Xenopus tropicalis: one gene and its partner. The protein of the gene in region 2 purifies or fractionates together with the protein of the main gene of each other region. This does not show direct contact. Links are inferred from orthologs where the notes say so. Each region holds a gene or a part of one and is shown on either strand. Other genes may lie near its edges.

What was found.
Region 1: the proteins of itk (region 2) and hsp90ab1 purify together in Homo sapiens (affinity purification with mass spectrometry; 3 studies listed by BioGRID and IntAct, with this or other methods). This does not show direct contact. The link is inferred for Xenopus tropicalis from reciprocal best matches to the Homo sapiens genes ITK and HSP90AB1.

The regions. Positions count from the first base shown.
Region 1 is NC_030681.2:2,232,988-2,243,732, forward strand, and holds the start of hsp90ab1 (heat shock protein HSP 90-beta), read right to left. Parts: upstream 4,968-10,745; 5' UTR 4,922-4,967; intron 3,727-4,921; coding exon 3,580-3,726; intron 3,290-3,579; coding exon 3,083-3,289; intron 2,962-3,082; coding exon 2,802-2,961; intron 2,718-2,801; coding exon 2,584-2,717; intron 2,508-2,583; coding exon 2,202-2,507; intron 2,104-2,201; coding exon 1,938-2,103; intron 1,392-1,937; coding exon 1,201-1,391; intron 1,113-1,200; coding exon 965-1,112; intron 827-964; coding exon 558-826; intron 468-557; coding exon 134-467; intron 16-133; coding exon 1-15. UniProt on the Homo sapiens protein: Molecular chaperone that promotes the maturation, structural maintenance and proper regulation of specific target proteins involved for instance in cell cycle control and signal transduction. Undergoes a functional cycle linked to its ATPase activity.
Region 2 is NC_030679.2:14,164,492-14,174,587, forward strand, and holds part of itk (tyrosine-protein kinase ITK/TSK), read right to left. Parts: intron 6,469-10,096; coding exon 6,364-6,468; intron 5,867-6,363; coding exon 5,788-5,866; intron 4,369-5,787; coding exon 4,240-4,368; intron 1-4,239. UniProt on the Homo sapiens protein: Tyrosine kinase that plays an essential role in regulation of the adaptive immune response. Regulates the development, function and differentiation of conventional T-cells and nonconventional NKT-cells.

The DNA of each region.
Region 1 (10,745 bases), on a different chromosome or scaffold from region 2:
CGTCATCATCAATACCTGAGAGAGACAAGGGGAAGTTAACCCTAAATGTGGTGGTTTCAGGACCCTACATACAAATCCCCTTTATGGCAGAAGGATTCTGGTAGCCATTCCCATAATGCTCAGCGACACCTACCCAGACCCAGCTTGATCATCCTGTAGATCCTGTTTGAGTGCGTCTGGGGGTCGTCCAGGGAGAAGCCGGATGACAGCAGCGCGGTCTCGAAGAGCAGCACCACCAGGTCCTTCACTGCTTTGTCGTTCTTGTCGGTTTCCGCTTTCTGCCTCAGGGTCTCCACGATGGGGTGCTCGGGGTTGATCTCCAAGTGCTTCTTAGCCATCATGTAGCCCATGGTGGAATTGTCCCGCAGAGCTTGCGCTTTCATGATGCGCTCCATGTTGGCGGTCCAGCCGTAGGTGCTGGTGACGATACAGCAGGGAGAGGAGACGAGTCTGTTGGACACGGTGACCTGCGGGGTAACAAGGGGCAGGTTGGGGGTTAGCAGGACAAGGCTATACTAGGGGAGGGGCAACATTACTTCCTTCTGCCCCATCCTCACCTTCTCTACTTTCTTGTCCAGAATTTCCTTCATCAGTTTGCACAAACTCTCAAATTTGGTCTTGTTCTCTTCCATCATCTTCTTCTCTTCCTCGTCCTCTGGCAGCTCCAGGCCCTCCTTGGTCACAGACACCAGCGTCTTCCCGTCGAACTCCTTCAGCTGCTGCACGCAGTACTCGTCGATGGGCTCAGTCATGTAGACCACCTCGAAGCCACGCTTCCTCACCCGCTCCACGAAGGCGGAGTTGGCCACCTGGTCCTTGCTCTCACCTGCGAGACAGAACAGAGGGGTCACGTGTCAGACTCTTCCTCTAAGCGAGCTGCGGAGAAGTGACCCCAGGGGAAGAGGAATACCCCTCTCTCCCAGGGGAGCCCATAATGGGATATCTTGCTGCAAGGGCCACTTACCAGTTATGTAGTAGATGCTTTTCTGGTTCTCCTTCATACGGGACACATACTCTGTTAGGGAGGCCATCTCGTCGCCTGTCTGGGAAGTGTGGTACCTGAGGAGCTCAGACAGCTTCTTGCGGTTGGTAGAATCCTCGTGGATGCCGAGCTGCAAGGAGAGGTAGGTCAGCAAGAGCCACTGGGACGAACAAGAGCTCCGCCCACTACAGCCCAGGGCACCCTCCTGCACTGCTCACCTTCAGGTTCTTGGAGAAAGCCTCGTAAAACTTCTTGTAGTTCTCCTTGTCCTCGGCCAGCTCGGTGAAGAGCTCCAGGCACTTCTTGACAATGTTCTTGCGGATCACCTTCAGGATCTTGCTCTGCTGCAGCATCTCACGGGAAATGTTCAAGGGCAGATCCTCAGAATCCACCACCCCGCGAATGAAGTCTGGAAGAGAGAAAAGAGTTAGAGGCGGCACAGGGAGAGACTGCCCAAAAGTCCTACATTCAGGATCCATCTGTGGGGCCCTGTGTGCCTACGTGTGTGTGTGCGCAGCTTAGTAGCAGCTACCAAATCCCCTGCCATAGACAATACTGAGAATTCCTTCTGCTAGACACACGTAGAGACAATTATCAGCAAATGATCAACATTGTCTGTTTCTGTAGCTGCTACTAGTAGCTCCGTGTGTCTTCCCCTTATAGATACGCGAGTGCACCAAGAGGCCTGTGCGTAAGAGACAAGGATTCTTGGGCTGAAATACTACAATAGGCAATTAATTGCCCCTGCCCCCCCACACACTTACCTGCCTGCCTGTGTGCCTATGGGTGTGCGTGGGGCCCTGCCTGCCTGTGTCACCACATCAAGCAAAAGATCTACATGCTAGACTGTTAATGAAGCATCTAATGCCAGACTATTGGAAGGCTTTACCCAGCATCCCATCCTATGGGGGGGGGGGGAAGGAGGGGGCCCACTAAGCTTCGGGCCAGTACTTACTCAGATACTCTGGGATCAGCTCGTCGCAGCTATCCATGATGAAGACGCGGCGCACGTACAGCTTGATGTTGTTCTTCTTCTTCTTGTTCTCAAACAGATCAAAGGGGGCGCGGCGGGGAATGAAGAGCAGAGCGCGGAACTCCAGTTGCCCCTCCACAGAGAAGTGCTGGGGGGAAGCAGAACAGGGGGTGTTAGCGCTCAGGAGAGAGTGTGGAACCCAGAGCTGAACAAGCGGTGCATTATGGGGTTTTTTTTTCTTCTTACCTTCACAGCCAAGTGATCCTCCCAGTCATTGGTCAGGCTCTTGTAGAACTCTCCGTACTCTTCCTGGGTGATGTCGTCTGGGTTACGGGTCCAGATGGGCTTGGTTTTGTTCAGCTCCTCCTGGTCGATGTACTTCTCCTTGATCTTCTTTGTCTTTTTCTTCTTGTCCTTCCCCTCCTCTTCCTCATCGGAGCCCACGTCCTCTATTTTAGGTTTGTCGTTCTCTCCCTCCTCTTCCTTCTTTTCTTCCTCTTTCTCCTCCTCTGCCTCATCGTCGCTGATCTCCTTTTCCCTCTCCTTCTCCAGCTGTCGGGGAGACAAATAGTGAGCCAATCGTACATCAGACCCAGGGCCCTGCCCCCAGCTGGCCGGCCATACTCACATAGAGGGTGATTGGGTAGCCAATGAACTGCGAGTGTTTCTTCACGGTTTCCTTGACACGTTTCTCCTCCAGGTACTCTGTCTGATCTTCCTTCAGGTAGAGGATGACTTTGGTACCACGGCCAATGGGCTCACCTAGCAGGAAATACCAGTTTGGGGTTAGTGGTGCCAACTTACAGGCCTTTAGGGGAATTCTGGTCCAATTGAACACAAACTCACCATGGTCAGTCTTCACGGTGAAAGAGCCGCCGGCGGAGGATTCCCACGCGTACTGTTCATCATCGTTGTGTTTGGTGATGACCAAGACCTTCTCTGCCACCAAGTACGCAGAATAGAAACCCACACCGAACTGACCAATCATAGAGATGTCAGCACCAGCCTGTCAGAGAGAAGGAACCACAACTCAATTGGACTTCAGGGAGACACCACTGGCTAGTGGACGGTACTTAATGCGCCAGCATTTAATAGTCAATGCTTTATATTGGGCCGCTGGTACCGACCTGCAGGGCCTCCATGAAAGCCTTGGTGCCGGACTTGGCGATGGTTCCCAGGTTGTTGATGAGGTCGGCCTTGGTCATGCCAATCCCGGTGTCGATGACAGTCAGTGTGCGCTCCTGGCGGTTGGGAATGATGTCGATCTTCAGGTCTTTGCCGCTGTCCAGCTTGGAGGGATCGGTCAGACTCTCGTATCGGATCTTATCCAGGGCCTGCGGCACCGAACAATGGGGAGAAGGTTGAGGATTGGCAGAGAGTGGCTACTAGCCCAGAGGGCCCCCCCCCCCTCATTATAACAGTCCCCCCAGACCCCTATGCAACAGGCAGTGAAGCTGCCACAATACCTACTAATATAACAGCTTGGCTGCAGAGCACACACACCATTCTATCACTAGCTGAGCCAAGAGGCCAGCTCTGCTTTAGTTCAGATACCCCCTCCCCCCACATATGGGTGCTTGGGCACTGGCACAGTTGGCACATAGGCAGCCAAGGACAGACTTACGTCGGAGGCGTTGGAGATCAACTCTCGCAGGAAGATTTCTTTGTTGGAGTAGAAGGTGTTGATGATGAGGGACATGAGCTGCGCAATCTCCGCCTGGAAGGCAAATGTCTCCACCTCCTCCTCTCCATTGTGAGCGACTTCAGGCATCTGTGTAAGGGAACGAGAGTCAGCTGGGTCTTAGGCAGGACTATTGCCCCGTGCAACACCAGGGGCCGTATAACTGCCCCCTCCTATGCAACATTCTACTTCCTGCTCTTATGAGCAGAATGGAAACAAAGCAGCAGCCTCTGTATAACACTCACACCCTGCCATTGGGGAAAGGGAGGGGTTTGTTTATATAGAGGCTTCACAGCAGCCATGTAAGGGACTTTTACTTTCAGTTCCACCCTGGTTAGAGAAATATATTTATATTAAATAAGTCCTATTATCTCCTTACAGCAACAGGCAGATCTCTGTGCAGAACTTGCTCTACTCATTGAGCTCACACTGAGTAACTGGGGGTACTGGCCCTTTAAGACCCTGTGAGAAGCTTTTAAATCCCCCCTCCCCCGATTTTGGGCTGAAAGACATTTGCGACCTGTCCCGCTGGGTGTGGGGCAACAGGAGCCCCGGGTGTGGGGGGCAACAGGAGCCCCGGGTGTGGGGGGCAACAGGAGCCCCGGGTGTGGGGCAGCTGTCAGTGTTATTCGTTCCCCCCCCCCCAGCAGAGGGAACACATGGACCAGCCCATACGGCGCAAGCAGCAGCGGGACAGACCATGACCGGGCGCAGGGGGAGCCGTTACCATGGATACACGGCCCGGCCCCGGCTGTGACGCGCTTCATCCCAACATGGCGGCGCTACCGGCTCCCTAACCATGTGCGCCCCCACCCGCGGGGGGGGGTAGAAAGATCTAGAAGGTTCCAGGGCCGGGGGGCGGGGCCGGGACTGACAGTTAGGGAAACCCCGGGAATAATACACAGAATGAACCTTTCCCGTAGAGAATTACAGGGGCCCCGAATTCGCCTCAACGATAATGTCCCCTCTCCCCCATCTAACTGCCCCTCTCCCCCATCTAACTGCCCCTCTCCCCCATCTAACTGCCCCTCTCCCCCATCTAACTGCCCCTCTCCCCGCTACTATGGCTCCTGCCTCAGTTTCTCCAGCCATTGCCCCACTCGGACTCCCAAGTGCCAATACCCAGCCCGCTGCCCCCCAGCAGCCCCTCACTATCCCCCCAGCAGCCCCTCACAATGCCCCCCCCAGCAGCCCCTCACAATGCCCCCCCCAGCAGCCCCTCACAATGCCCCCAGCAGCCCCACACAATGCCCCCAGCAGCCCCACACAATGCCCCCCCGGGTACCTTGGCTGCTTAAGGATCTCCGCGGCCGAACACTGCTGGGGAATTGGTGAATGAAGAGGAAAGAAACAAGCAGCCGGGCACCTTTTATACTGGGCGGAGAGCAGCCCCAGATCCCTCCGCCTGCACCAGTGCCGGCACTATTTGCAGCTAGGGCTGAGTACGCGGAGCCGCAGTGAGAGAGAGTGCGGGCAGTAGCTCCGTGGGACCAGGGCTTCCCAGTACGGATCTGGGATTTCGCCTTTCAGCCCAGCTGCAATAATCAAACTACCGAGTGCGTCTCTCCTCAGGGAACTGAGCATGCGCAACTCTGTGTTACTCAGCACTCACTCACAGCGCCCCCTCTGGCCGGCCCGGGAGGTTCCCTCCTTATAGCAAATGCTGCTGGGACTATTTTTTTTCCTTGGCGGGAGGATACCAAGCGGAGGAGGTAGTGTAATTTTCTAGTAGTTTCTCTAGTGACTCCGCCTTTTGTCCCTCCCCTGCCTCTCCCCTGCCCCGCCCCTTCTTCCTTGTCTGTGAGGCAAATGAACCCTTCAGCCCCGCTGCCGCCATCTGCTGCTTTGTCATTCCGCTCGCCCTCTGTTGTTTGTGGGAGGGGCCAGGCTAGTGGGAGGGGCAAGGCTCCTGTTACGTCACTAACTGCAGGGACAAATGGCTGCTGAGTCACATGGGAAGATAAAGGGTTTATTTGGTTGTTTTATTTCTGTAGCCCTGGTATTCTGTCCCATCAGCCCCTGCCCCAGTGAGCTTACACTCTAATGTCCCTATCCCATTCCCATCAGCCCCTGCCCCAGTGAGCTTACACTCTAATGTCCCTATCCCATTCCCATCAGTCCCTGCCCCAGTGAGCTTACAATCTAAGGCCCTATCCCGATTCCATCAGTCCCTGCCCCAGTGAGCTTACAATCTAAGGTCCCTATCCCATTCCCATCAGCCCCTGCCCCAGTGAGCTAAACAATCTAAGGTCCCTATCCATTCCCATCAGCCCCTGCCCCAGTGAGCTTACAATCTAAGGCCCCTATCCATTCCATCAGTCCCTGCCCAGTGAGCTTACAATCTAAGGTCCTATCCCCATTCCCATCAGCCCCTGCCCCAGTGAGCTTACAATCTAAGGTCCCTATCCCATTCCCATCAGCCCCTGCCCCAGTGAGCTACAATCTAAGGTCCCCTATCACATTCCCATCAGCCCCTGCCCAGTGAGCTTACAATCTAATGGTCCCTATTCCCATTCCCATCAGCCCCTGCCCCCAGTGAGCTTACAATCTAAGGTCCCTATCACATTCCCTATCAGCCCCTGCCCAGTGAGCTTACAATCTAAGTCCCATCCCATTCCCATCAGCCCCTGCCCCAGGAGCTTACACCTCTAAGTCCCTTCCCATCAGCCCCTGCCCAGTGAGCTTACAATCTAAAGGTCCCTATCCCATTCCATCAGTCCCTGCCCAGTGAGCTTACAATCTAAGGTCCCTATCACATTCCCATCAGCCCTGCCCCAGTGAGCTTACAATCTAAGGTCCCTATCCATTCCCATCAGCCCTGCCCCAGTGAGCTTACAATCTAAGGTCCCTATCACATTCCCATCAGCCCCTGCCCCAGTGAGCTACAATCTAAGGTCCCTATCACATTCCCATCACCCCTGCCCCAGTGAGCTTACAATCTAAGTCCCTATCACATCCCATCAGCCCCTGCCCCAGTGACTTACAATCTAAGGGCCCCTATCCATCCCATCAGTCCCTTGCCCCAGTGAGCTTACAATCTAAGGTCCCTATCCCATTCCCATCAGCCCCTGCCCCGTGAGCTTACAATCTAAGGTCCCTATCCCATTCCCATCAGTCCCTGCCCCAGTGAGCTTACAATCTAAGGTCCCTATCACATTCCCATCAGTCCCTGCCCCAGTGAGTTTACAATCTAAGGTCCCTATCCCATTCCCATCAGTCCCTGCCCCAGTGAGCTTACAATCTAAGATCCCTATCCCATTCCCATCAGCCCCTGCCCCAGTGAGCTTACAATCTAAGGTCCCTATCACATTCCCATCAGTCCCTGCCCCAGTGAGCTTACAATCTAAGGCCCCTATCCCATTCCCATCAGTCCCTGCCCCAGTGAGCTTACAATCTAAGGTCCCTATCCCATTCCCATCAGCCCCTGCCCCAGTGAGCTTACAATCTAAGGTCCCTATCACATTCCCATCAGCCCCTGCCCCAGTGAGCTTACACTCTAAGGTCCCTATCCCATTCCCATCAGTCCCTGCCCCAGTGAGCTTACAATCTAAGGTCCCTATAACATTCCCATCAGTCCCTGCCCCAGTGAGCTTACAATCTAAGGTCCCTATAACATTCCCATCAGCCCCTGCCCCAGTGAGCTTACAATCTAAGGTCCCTATCACATTCCCATCAGCCCCTGCCCCAGTGAGCTTACAATCTAAGGTCCCTATCCCATTCCCATCAGTCCCTGCCCCAGTGAGCTTACAATCTAAGGTCCCTATCACATTCCCATCAGTCCCTGCCCCAGTGAGCTTACAATCTAAGGTCCCTATCCCATTCCCATCAGTCCCTGCCCCAGTGAGCTTACAATCTAAGGTCCCTATCCCATTCCCATACCTCCCAACTGTCCCGCTTTCCGCGGGACAGTCCCAGATTTTAGAGCGCATCCCGCTGTCCCGGATAGTTCCATGAATGTCCCGCATTTCCGTAATAAATTACGGAAATGCGGAACATTCATTGACTTACCCGGGACAGCGGGATGCGTCGGCGCTCCTTCCTCCCCAGCGGCTCCTCAGTGTATGCGGCTCCTTCTCCGGCGGTCCCAGGTCCTTTTATAAGGTTGCGCCCTTACGCACGGGTGACGTCATTACGCACGGGCGCAACCTTATAAAAGGGCCAGGGACCGCCGGAGAAGGAGCCGCATACACTGAGGAGCCGCTGCGGACGAAGAAGAAGGGAGCGCTGTCTGTATTGGGGGCACTGTGTATGGGGTGGGACTGTCTCAATTGGGGGCACTGTGTATGGGGTGGGACTGTCTCAATTGGGGGCACTGTCTCAATTGGGGGCACTGTGTATGGGGTGGGACTGTCTCAATTGGGGGCACTGTGTATGGGGTGGGAACTGTCTCAATTGGGGCACTGTGTATGGGGGCACTGTCTCAATTGGGGGCACTGTGTATGGGGTGGGACTGTCTCAATTGGGGGCACTGTGTATGGGGGCACTGTCTCAATTGGGGGCACTTGTATGTGCTTCTAATGGCACTGTGTATGGGGCACTGTCTCAATTGGGGGCACTGTGTATGGGGGGGACTGTCTCAATTGGGGGCACTGTGTATGGGGTGGGACTGTCTCAATTGGGGGCACTGTGTATGGGGTGGGACTGTCTCAATTGGGGCACTGTGTATGGGGGGACGGTCCAATTGGGACTGTGTATGGGGGACGTCTCAATTGGGGACTGGTATGGGGGGACTGTCTCAATACGTGTATGGGGGATGTCTCAATTGGGGCACTGTGCTATGGGGGACGTCTCAAATTGGGCACTGTTATGGGGTGGGACTGTGCTCAATGTGTATGGGGGGACTGTCTCAATTGGGCACGTGAGGGGGGACTCTCAATTGGGGGGCACTGTGTATGGCGGGACTGTCTCAATTGGGGCACTGTTATGGGGGATGTCTCAATTGGAGGCCACTGTGTATCGGCGGCACTGTCTCAATGGGGCACTGTATATATAGTACTGTCTTTAGCATTGGGCACTGTGTTATGGGGGAAAACGGTAGAATAGTTATAACTCACTAATAACTCACTGCCTGTCCTCTATATTTGTATTTATATGAGGAGTTGCTATATGTTTCCCCTTAGTTAGTACCAGTATGAGGGAATAGCACATTGGCATCTGATCCCGCATTTCAGCTATTATAAAAGGAGAATTTTTGGGAAAAAAAATGGATGTGTGTGTATCGTAATTGCGGCGGCCACAAAAGTGGGCGTGGTCAAAAAATTGCCGCGATGCGCACCACCAATCTTTTTGTCCCTCTTTTCATTTTCAAATGTTGAGGTGATGCTATTCCCATCAGTCCCTGCCGCCATGGAGCTACAATCTTAAGGTCCCTATCCCATTCCCATCAGCCCCGCCCCAGTAGCTTACAATCTGAAGGTTCCCTATCCCATTCCATTCATTCCATGCCCCAGTGAGCTTACAATCTAAGGGCCCTATCCCATTCCCATCAGTCCCTGCCCAGTGAGCTTACAATCTAAGTTCCCTATCCCATTCCCATAGTCCTGCCCCAGTAGCTTACAATCTAAGGTCCCTATCCCATTCCCATCAGCCCTGCCCCAGTGAAGCTTACAATCGTCCCTATCCCATTGCCCAGTGACTTACAATCTAAGGTCCCTTATCCCAATCCCATCAGTCCCTGCCCCGATGAGCTTTACAATTGCTAAGGTCCCTATCCCATTTCCCATCAGCCCCTGCCCCAGTGAGGCTTACAATCTAATGGTCCCTATTCCCAATCCCATCAGTCCCTTTGCCCCAGTGAGCTTACAATCTAAGGTCCCTATCCCATTCCCATCCAGTCCCATGCCCAGTGAGTTTACATGTAAGGTCTCTATCCTATTCCATCAGTCCCTGCCCCAGTGGAGCTTACAATCTAATTGTCCCTATCCCATTCCCATCAGCCCGCTGCCCCAGTGAGCTTACAATCTAAGGTCCCTATCCCATTCCCATCAGCCCCTGCCCCAGTGAGCTACAATCTAAGGTCTCTATCCTATTCCCATCAGTCCCTGCCCCAGTGAGCTTACAATCTATTGTCCCTATCCCATTCCCATCAACTCCCTGCCCCAGTGAGCTTACAATCTAAGGTCCCTATCCCATTCCCATAAGTCCCTGCCCCAGTGAGCTTACAATCTAAGGTCCCTATCCCATCCCATAAGTCCCTGCCCCAGTGAGCTTACAATCTAAGGTCCCTATCCCATTCCCATCAGTCCTGCCCAGTGAGCTACAATCTAAGGTCCCTATCCCATTCCCATCAGCCGCCTGCCCAGTGAGCTTACAATCTAAGGTCCCTATCCCATTCCCATCAGCCCCTGTCCCAGTGAGCTTACAATCTAAGGTCCCTATCCCATTCCCATCAGTCCCTGCCCCAGTGAGCTTACAATCTAAGGTCCCTATCCCATTCCCATCAGCCCTGCCCCAGTGAGCTTACAATCTAAGGTCCCTATCCCATTCCCATCAGCCCCTGCCCCAGTGAGCTTACACTCTAATGTCCCTATCCATTCCCATCAGTCCCTGCCCAGTGAGCTTACAATCTAAGGTCCCTATCCATGGCCATCAGTCCCTGCCCCAGTGAGCTTATACTCTAAGGTTCCTATTTCCCATAGCTCCCATTCCACAGCCCCTGCCCCCAGTGTCCCGCCCAGGGCTACAATCTAAGTCCCTATCACATTCCCATCAGTCCCTGCCCCAGTGAGCTTACAATCTAAGGTCCCTATCACGTTCCCATCAGCCCCTGCCCCAGTGAGCTTACAATCTAAGGTCCCTATCCCATTCCCATCAGTCCCTGCCCCAGTGAGCTTACAATCTAAGGTCCCTATCCCATTCCCATCAGTCCCTGCCCCAGTGAGCTTACAATCTAAGGTCCCTATCCCATTCTATCAGTCCCTGCCCCAGTGAGCTTACAATCTAAGGTCCCTATCCCATTCCCATCAGCCCCTGCCCCAGTGAGCTTTACAATCTTAAGGTCCCTATCACATTCCCATCAGTCCCTGCCCCAGTGAGCTTACAATCTAAGGTCCCTATCCCATTCCCATCAGTCCCTGCCCCAGTGAGCTTACAATCTAAGGTCCCTATCC
Region 2 (10,096 bases):
AACTTTATGTGTTATTTTCTGTAATTTTGTAATTAAAATTGATTGTTGTTAAACCCTCTGTATATTTTATAAAGGATTACTACTTTTTCAATACTACCACTGTGCTTGTGTGCAAACCCTTACTCTATTTGAAATTATTGTCTGCATAGAGGTTACCAAATAGCCAATCACAGCCTTTATTTGGCACCCACATTAACTTATGATGCTTGTGTTGCTTTTCTTTTCAAGCCTTTTTTTTAGGCTCACGAGCAAGAAAGGTTGGGGATCCCTGATCTACAAGAACTCCAAGGTCCTTCTCCATTAGGGATTTGCCTAGTGCAGTCCCATTAAGGGTATAAGTGGCTTGCATATTTTTACATCCCAGGTGCATGACTTTTACCCACATTAAATCTCATCTGCCACTTAGCTGCCTAGATTGTTAGATTGCTGAATCAACCCCTGACCTACCCACTAACACACCAATCATATCACATTGGAAAATGCTTACTCTCAAAGCTATCACTCTCCTATGGACACTACCAGTTCCTCTCTAGTTGTAAAAGATGGTTCAGATTACATCAGCAAGTTCCCAGTGCTAGTATACATAACAGCGGCCCCCTGTGTAATCTAGGCACTGGTCCCATAACACAATGAATAAAACTCTGTGGGACAAAACACACTCTCGTTTATCATACTTATGAATGTTCCTAAATGAGGATGTATTTATGAATAGAGCTGTTTAACCATCACCGCTGCCTTGGTGTCCCATTGAGTGCGTGCCACATGGTACTTTGATTCTGTGTTTCTCCCTGTGCTGTGGGTCTGGGGCATTGAACGGAGTAAACATTTCTAGTGAAGGGCTTGGGCACCTGAGCCCTCTATTTCATCTGGTGAGCTTGTTTCCATATTTATAAATTGTTTAAAATTGTAACTGGTAGCCAACAAGTTCCTTTATATACATAAAAAAGCTGTTTTAACCTAAGATAGGTTGGGAGCCTCCTTTTGGTATAGTAGCAAGTTCCTAAATGGTCTACACTTGTAACATCAACCTTAATTTTACCATCAGATAGAATAGGAAAGCAGACCATCACAAAGCAAAAGCACTCATAGGTGTTGATGCTGAAGGTAACTATACAAAGTAGTGGGAAGTGAGAGAGAGGAAGAAAAATAGATGGTATCTGTGGTTTAGGAATGTGGTGAGAATGGGGGACAAACACAACTAGAAGCTAGGTGTATAAACTGACTTACTATAGGGAACACTTGTGTGTTGCAAAAACAACCCCCAGGATATCAGTTTTTGCTGTCGAGTCTAGTAACTTTCTTTTTACAAAGTTACATAGTTACGCTGGGTTAAAAAAAGACCAATGTCCATCAAGTTCAACCCTTCCAAGCAAACCCAGCACATACAAACCTATACTTACCTATCTGTACACTCACATACAGACCCATACTGACCTATCTATCCACTCACATACAGACCCACACTGACCTATCTATCCACTCACATACAGACCCACACTGACCTATCTATCCACTCACATACAGACCCATACTGACCTATCTATCCACTCACATACAGAGCCATACTGACCTATCTATCCACTCACATACAGACCCATACTGACCTATCTATACACTCACATACAGACCCACACTGACCTATCTATCCACTCACATACAGACCCATACTGACCCATCTATCCACTCACATACAGACCCACACTGACCTATCTATCCACTCACATACAGACCCACACTGACCCATCTATCCACTCACATACAGACCCACACTGACCCATCTATCCACTCACATACAGACCCATACTGACCTATCTATCCACTCACATACAGACCCACACTGACCTATCTATCCACTCACATACAGACCCATACTGACCTATCTATCCACTCACATACAGACCCACACTGACCCATCTATACACTCACATACAGACCCATACTGACCTATCTATCCACTCACATACAGACCCACACTGACCCATCTATCCACTCACATACAGACCCACACTGACCCACTCACATACAGACCCACACTGACCCATCTATCCACTCACATACAGACCCATACTGACCTATCTATCCCCTCCCATACAGACCCATACTGACCTATCTATCCCCTCCCATACAGACCCATACTGACCTATCTATCCACTCACATACAGACCCACACTGACCCATCTATCCACTCACATACAGACCCACACTGACCTATCTATCCACTCACATACAGACCCACACTGACCTATCTATCCACTCACATACAGACCCATACTGACCTATCTTTACACTCACATACAGACCCATACTGACCTATCTATACACTCACATACAGACCCATACTGACCCATCTATCCACTCACATACAGACCCATACTGACCCATCTATCCACTCACATAACTGACCTATCTATACACTCCCATACATAGATCATATATACCAATAGCCTTGGATACAATGCTTGTTCAAGAACTCATCCAGGTCCCTCTTATAGGCATTAACAGAATCTGCCATTACAGCATCACTAGGAAGGGCATTCCCCAACCTCACTGCCCTCACCGTGAAAACCATCTACGCTACTTCAAATGAAAGTTTTATGGGAGAAAAGGACACCCCCTATCTGTCTATAACCCCCTCTAATATACAGACTAATCATGTTTTCCAGAGAAAACAATAAACCATTAAAGGGGTGGTTCACCTTTAAGTTGCTCTTAGTATGCTATAGAATGCCCTGTTCATAGCAACTTAGCAATTCGGTCTTCATTATCTATTTTTTATAGTTTCTAAATTATTTTCCAGCTTTCAAATTAGGGTCACTAACCCCAGAATCCAAAAAACTATTGCACTGTAAAGTTACAAACTTTATTATTATTGTTACTTTTTATTTATTATCTTTTTATTATTTTATTCATTCTCATTTTCATATTCAAGTCTCTCACTGACTAGTTGCTAAGATAAACAAGACCTGAAGTTCCAATGCGGAGAGCTGCTTAACTAAATAAACTAACTAAATAACTGAAAATAAAAACCACAAAAATTAAAAAACGAAAACTAGTTGCAAAATGTCTATCAATATCTATGTCATACTAAAAGGTAATCTAAAGATCAACAAACCCTTTAGTGGAGTAATGTAGTAGGTATATTTTGGCCCTTATAATTTAAAATATTGTATTTCAACACCACAGGTATGATACATTCTTGCCAACCTGATATAACCTAGTCCTACTTCCATGCCAAAAAGGCCTGGACATTTTGCCGACAGGCTTATGTAATAAGATGCAAACATTGTGCCCCCTTCCAGCAATCCATATAAACTAATCTCTCATTTGGTTTAAAAGTTCCAGTTGTCCCAGAAGCTTGTTCAGTAGCTTAGGAGACATTGGGCACTCATATACAAATATGGGGCAATGTGCAAAGTACAAAAAAATGTGGTGCAAAGCGCCATATTTTTGCCTACTGTAAATATCATCCACTTACAATGCAGCTTGCGCCTGTAATATAAAAGATGGCACATGGGTTTCCTGTACCCTTACCAGCATGCCATTCTGCAGGGGCAAGTTTCATTCAGAGCCTTATATGTCTTACATAAGCTCACTGTACTCTGCACTAAATGTGAATGCCAAGGTAGAACTGGTGCAGGGGCATTGCTCAGATATAATGTACTGTACATGATACACTTTGATGGACAGGATGTGCAGCCTGTTATAGAGCTCTGATAGGATCAACTGCTGTAAATATTCCTCACCACAATCAGATAAAAGAGGACATATGGAGTCATTACATCAGTGCTTATAAAAAGAGATAAACTGATTCTGACGTTCCTGTATAGAGACCAGACATTGTACAGTATATATACAAAAGCCGTAGTCAACGTATATTCTAATGGGTCATGGTGATATGACCAGTGGGATTGGGAGAAACATGAAACACGGAGGATGGTTCACAGAGAGAGTCTCCCTGGGGCACAATTAAAGGAAATATATAGTTTAAAAACATGTATTTTACCATCCCACTATACACCCCTTAATGGGATAATCACATGGGTTCCCTTATATTAAGCAACCACCAGTGATTAGAATTTTGTACCACAGACTCCGGACTGCCGTGTAAAAGAGCTCACTTATTGGAAGACTTAACATTGAAGGTAACCACAAGTGTGCATCGTTTGCCAATAATAACAATGCATGCTATAACAGGCAAGACACACAGCATAACAAGACAGAGGGAAGGACATCACTCACCATCTTTGCTCCTGTCGTACAAGGCACAGCCGGTGGCCATTTTCTCTGTCTGGAAGCAACATCTCCATCTCCCTTCCAACCAGAAGTTGGAGTGATATTTAGCCACAAGAAAGTCATTGTCTTTGGTCTCTGCAGAGAGAAAGTGGACACTGAGAGACATTTATGGCCCCCAAACATTTAAAAATAAGAACACTTAAGCCCACACTCTGATCCACTAGGAACACCCAGTTACTTGTAGACACATGCTTTGATCTACCAGAATCTCCCAAGGGTGGCCAGCCCCACAGTTCAGGACACTCTGATTACCTGGTAGATCAGTGTGTTGCCAGCTTTAGTCACACAAGTCATTGCCTATGGCTGGTGTTTAGAGGTGACAAAGTATGGCATTGCGGGGAGATTAGTTGCCCGCGACAACAAAGATTTGTCTCGGGCGACTAATCTCCCCGTGTACCACTGCCTTAAGAGTGTATCTCTTTATCTGCAAATTTGTTATCTAGAAGCTAGGGACCTAGGGGTTTGCAGACACAGGGTTTTCTTTTATAATTTGCATCATCATTTCTTAAAGGGGACATGTCACCCTAAGAAATAATTACAAATTGTTTTCTATTGTGTTTGTCAAGCAAAATAAACTTTAGTTACACTATATCAATTTTTTTTAAACTTATTTCCTTCAGCACTGGAATTCACCATTGCAGAAAACAGGCAGGCTCCATTTTGTGGACACTGTTATTAAGGCAAGCTGTGCATTCTTCCTGTGCCACTATGGGGGTACCTGATGCCCAAGTCCATGCACTGGTTACACAATTAGATGGTGAGGAGGGAAGGGGAATGTGAGGAGTGCAGTGACATCTACGAAGTTCTGAATTGAAAGTGAAAGTAACTGTCTGCCCCACCCCTATGCCTAAGGCATAGAGGAGGGTCAGGCAATATATGATTGACAGCTGGGACTTTTAAATGCTTATATAATGGGTATAGATGTGTTAATAAAAAAATGACTTTTGGTTACATGTTTAATTTGAAAAGGGCTTTTATTATACAGTTTTTTATGTCTGGGTGACGGGTCCACTTTAAATACTAAATATTTAAAAAGCCCATTAGAATTGTTTTGTCATCATCCATTTAGATTAATGCAGCTTAGTTCCCATCCAGTAGAACAGGGACCCCCAACCTTTCTTACTTGTGAGCCACAGTCAAATGTAAAAAGACTTGGAGAGCAGCACAAGCATCATAAAACTTCATGGAGGTGCAAAATAGGGGCTAAGAATAGCTATTAGGTAGCCTCTATGCACCCTATCAGCTTACAGGGGGCTTTATTTGGTACTAAATCTTGTTTTTATTCAACCAAAACTTGCCACCAAGTCAGGAATTAAAAAAAAAATCTGGTTTGGGGGCACTGAGAGCAACATCCACTGGGTTGGTGAGCAGCATGTTGCCCCCGAGCCACTGGTTGGGAATCACTGCAGTAGAAGGATCAGTTTTATTATCACACACAGAAAACAAACAGCTTGGCTGAATAGGACTCAATAGGAAATACCAAAGTCGTGTTACCTTCTTTCAGTGCCAGCACCCACTTTTGACGACTCTCTCTGTCAGGAGCAAAGACGTACAGAAAATAATCATGGATAACCTGAAAAGAGAAATAAGGGTCTAAGAATACCCAATGTGGATAGGTTCCTGCCGGTTAATACCATTATAATGTTATGGTGCATGAGACAGGGCACTTGTCATGCTTATTTGGCTAAAGGCCATCTGTCTCCCAACTCAGTTCCAGATTTCCAATACAGTTCAATGAGTTTTCTCAATGAATTTAATTTGGATCATTGTCCTTTTTAATCACCAAATAAATGTATGTATTAGTGCTAAAATTAGTGGAAAATTTCCAACCTGGACACACACTTACCTGCCTGTTCTCAACCTAGGCCTGACCCTGCCCGAGGTTGGGAAAAAAATTCCACCACCCCATTGATGATGAGGGAGCCCAGCTGCAGCAGGGCAAGTACAACCCGCACAGGACTTGGATGTGGTGGCCTAATTGTCAGCCGCCAGTAAACCCGCAGGTCAGATGTGTTTTTCGGATTAGCCCGCACATAATTAGAATGTATGTATATATCTTATTTGCCTTACCTGAAATGGGTATTTGTTCCTGCAAGCAATGCTGAGATCAGTGGTAACAATCTCGACACATTTAATCCGAGCCAAGTCAATGGAGCCACGGAGAGCACGTATTTTCTGAAAAGGAGGGAACAGTAGTTAAGTGAATGTAAAGAAAGATACTGAGTGTAGCGGGTACTGTACATTATGAGAAATGTATATATGAAGGAACTGGTAAGGCCCACTGATAACATTAGCGTCAACACATTTTTTTTACTAGCCAATACAATAATAACCAGGACCAATCAATATTCCATTGTTTTTCACACTCTCTTGTTGGCCAAGCCCTCACGTATTTTTAACCATTATCCAAAATTTGTCTTAAGGTGGAATCAGTTTTTAAAATGGTACAATTTTTATCGACAATTTTCTTTATTTCTTCGTACTGTGGACTGAAGTAAGAATACATGATTATCATGTATTCTTACCTTCAGTCCACAGTACAATTAAATATACAGATTTTCTTTTGAAAATGTACCTATTTATACTTCATTGCTTTCACAAATCTTTATGTGCATGCAAAGTCCAGGCATTTTATCTTGTTTCAATGGAAAAAAAAACCCAACAAAATTTAATTAAAAAAACAAAACTTATGCTGAAATGACCTTCAGAGGAAGAATGTTCATTAGCACAATGTCTAACTAATCAAAACTTTGGATGTCAAACATATTTGTTCATGTAATAGATATATAAACCAATTCCACAATCCCCTTCAATAGGAACTTTTTGTCCACTTCATAGGTCTAGGATTGTGGTTTACAGACTTAACCAGTTCAAGACCCTTTTTGAGGTCAAAGACTTGTTTAGGGTGCCCGTAGCCCAAATATACACCTAAACCCAGATCTCCTAGGTACCCCAGGTTTGAGGTCAACCTGTCCATCATATGCAATTCTGAAACTGAGAAAAGTCACACCTTTCTCCAACTTCTTTTTAGATGTGGTCATTCAAGCCATCATTTAAAACTGACAATTTTTATTAGTTTTATTATCCATGTTGCGTTACATTGTTAGCAAGTTATTCATTACAATATTCTGCATTACTACAGTCATTATTGATTGGTAGCATGAGTGGCAGGAGATTATTGTAAGGCAATGAGCACATGGAAAGAGAAGGAGAATGAAAAGAAAAAGAGAATAAAAAAAGGGGGAGGGAGGAAAGTAAAAAAGAGGAGTAAGTATGAAGACATGAAATTATAACTATTTACAGTAAAGGACGATGTTATAGTGGCTGGGACCTTTTGATTTGGTGAAACAGGGGGTATCTCTTGTTATATTATAGTTAGCAATATGACTCTATGATTAGGCTCTAATAGCCATAAACAGCTGAGGGTCATTTTCAAGCAGTAGCCAGGGCATCCAAATTTTGCCGTATGCTTCCATGTCATTCTGTAACATATATGAAAGTTTTTCATTGGTGTCAAGCCATCATTTAAACCCAGAGATAGGCAATGTGTCCATTTGTGTCATTGGATGACCCTTTGCCAAGGTTGACAGATGTAAGCATTGGATAGAACTAACTGATATGTCAGGTTTCTTCAGTAGAAGGAAATATCTTTTAAAAATGTGTAACCATTCATGTTCCAGCGTGCAGTAGGTAGAAGCCCTGAAAGTGACAGGAAATAAGTATCTCTGCCAAACTGAAGAAAATGTCTCTACCGCTTACCATCTAGACTAGAGTAAGGTGTTATGAACATCTTTATTTTAAGAAATATTTACAATTTCATAATGAGCTTTGAATATGAACCTATTTTTGTGGCAATGACAAAATGCAGTATTTTCTTTTCCCTTTTCTCCTAGGCCCAAACCCTTTTCCTACTTAATGGTCTTCTAGTAGAAATGGGATTCCTTCCCAACTTTATGTTCTCATGTCCCTCCTCCACTTCTTAATTCTGCTCAGTGCCTGCCCTCTTCCTGCTCTCCTCTGGGTATTGGGAAAGCTTTACCCTTTAACTACTCTACTCATTTAATTGATTAGGGCACCTTGTTCACTTTTACAAATCTGAGGTTATTTAACCATAGTTTTCTAGCTGGCATGCTAAGCCTTGTCTATACTGCTAAGACATTCGAAAAGCTTGTATATCACTGAATAAAGAAACAGTGAAATTCAAGTGCAGCCATTCACAGTGTGGGCGAATGAAAGCTCCCCTGTTGGGTGGCCCTGCTGTAAGGCTTATGGACCACTATGGTCTTTTCAAGCAGAACCAGATATAAAAGCACCTATCCCTGATAACTGTTCCATCCCTGCTATTTTGTATTTGTACAGCAGACAATTATGCCAGTAGGCAGTTACCAATTATTAATACATATGTTTGAACAACAGGGAAATGTGTATACCATAGATATCCCATTATCTATTCCAATAAATGGTAACAGGGAGGGGGTATTTTGATCATGGCTGATCATTTGGATTTTCACAGTGTAAAACTTGTAATGCTCTGACAGATTTGTATCAGGCAGGTTTGAAAATTGCAATTTATGCATCCCTCCCCTGGCAGGTTCCATTGGCCCCTGAGGGCCAAAAGATTGGATCAGCCCAGTTTGGCCCATAACAGGGGTAACAGGCAGTAATTGTTTACCCACTGATTGGCACCAGTTTGGAAAACGTAACTAATGATATATTGATTGAGAGTATTGTTACAGCCCTTCTTTGTATTAAAAAAAAATGGTCCCTGATGGTTTTGGGGAGAGGAATAAAATAATCAATCCCCCCATTGTGCATGTCAAAAACATACAACTAGAGAATTCTCTGGCATTATTTAATTCAATTACTAATCACTAAATACACTGATTTGATTAATGTGTGGCACTTAAAAGGATGTTATTTCACTAAATTTGGGTTCTTAAACTTGGTTTTAAGATCCGTGTTTTTGACACAGTGTGTAAGTGTGTGGCACAGGTGCATCAGCTTCTAAGAATGCTGCACTATATTTTTATATTGTGTTCTTTTATCTTGTTTTCACAAAAAATGTGAATTTTGAACTTTTAATTTTGAACTCGTTAATGGATGCCTAAATCTGTTGTCAGACACTAGGAAGTAAGTGAAAGAGCAGCGCAAAGGGAAACTTCTCCCACTCATACAATGAGAGGTGTAGAGCAAGGAGATAAGCACATTCATATCTTGTCAGGGCTTAAAATTCTATCACAAATATACCCAGTGTGTAACACTGAGTGGAACAAACATAGATATTCACACATACTGGTAAATCATATCGACGTCTCCATGTAAAGAAATGATTGCGGAAATTCACACAATCATACTAAATAAGGGATGTGTATTCATTGTAATGTCTGTGTGTGGCAAAAACTTTTTTACACTTCATTTTCACACCTTACAGTGTTTTGATAAAATCGTGTATATTACCACAGGAATTATTAAAGGCTTGTGATTCTTCATCCTGACTGTGTGACACCTCTATTTGCCTTAGATTTGTGAAAAAAAGCTAAAAAGGCTAAAAAGCAACTGCCCGGTGCTGTAATATTGCGTGAACAGAATTTACAAGGCTGCAGGCTGAGTTATACAGGGAACTCTGAGTATCACTCATGTATTATAAGGGATAATGTACCCCCTACTGTAAATGATAAGGATATTAGCAGTCACTGAGGGGTTCTGTGCCCATATAAAGGCACAAGGCTGCAGGCTGAGTTATACAGGGAACTCTGAGTATCACTCATGTATTATAAGGGATAATGTACCCCCTACTGTAAAT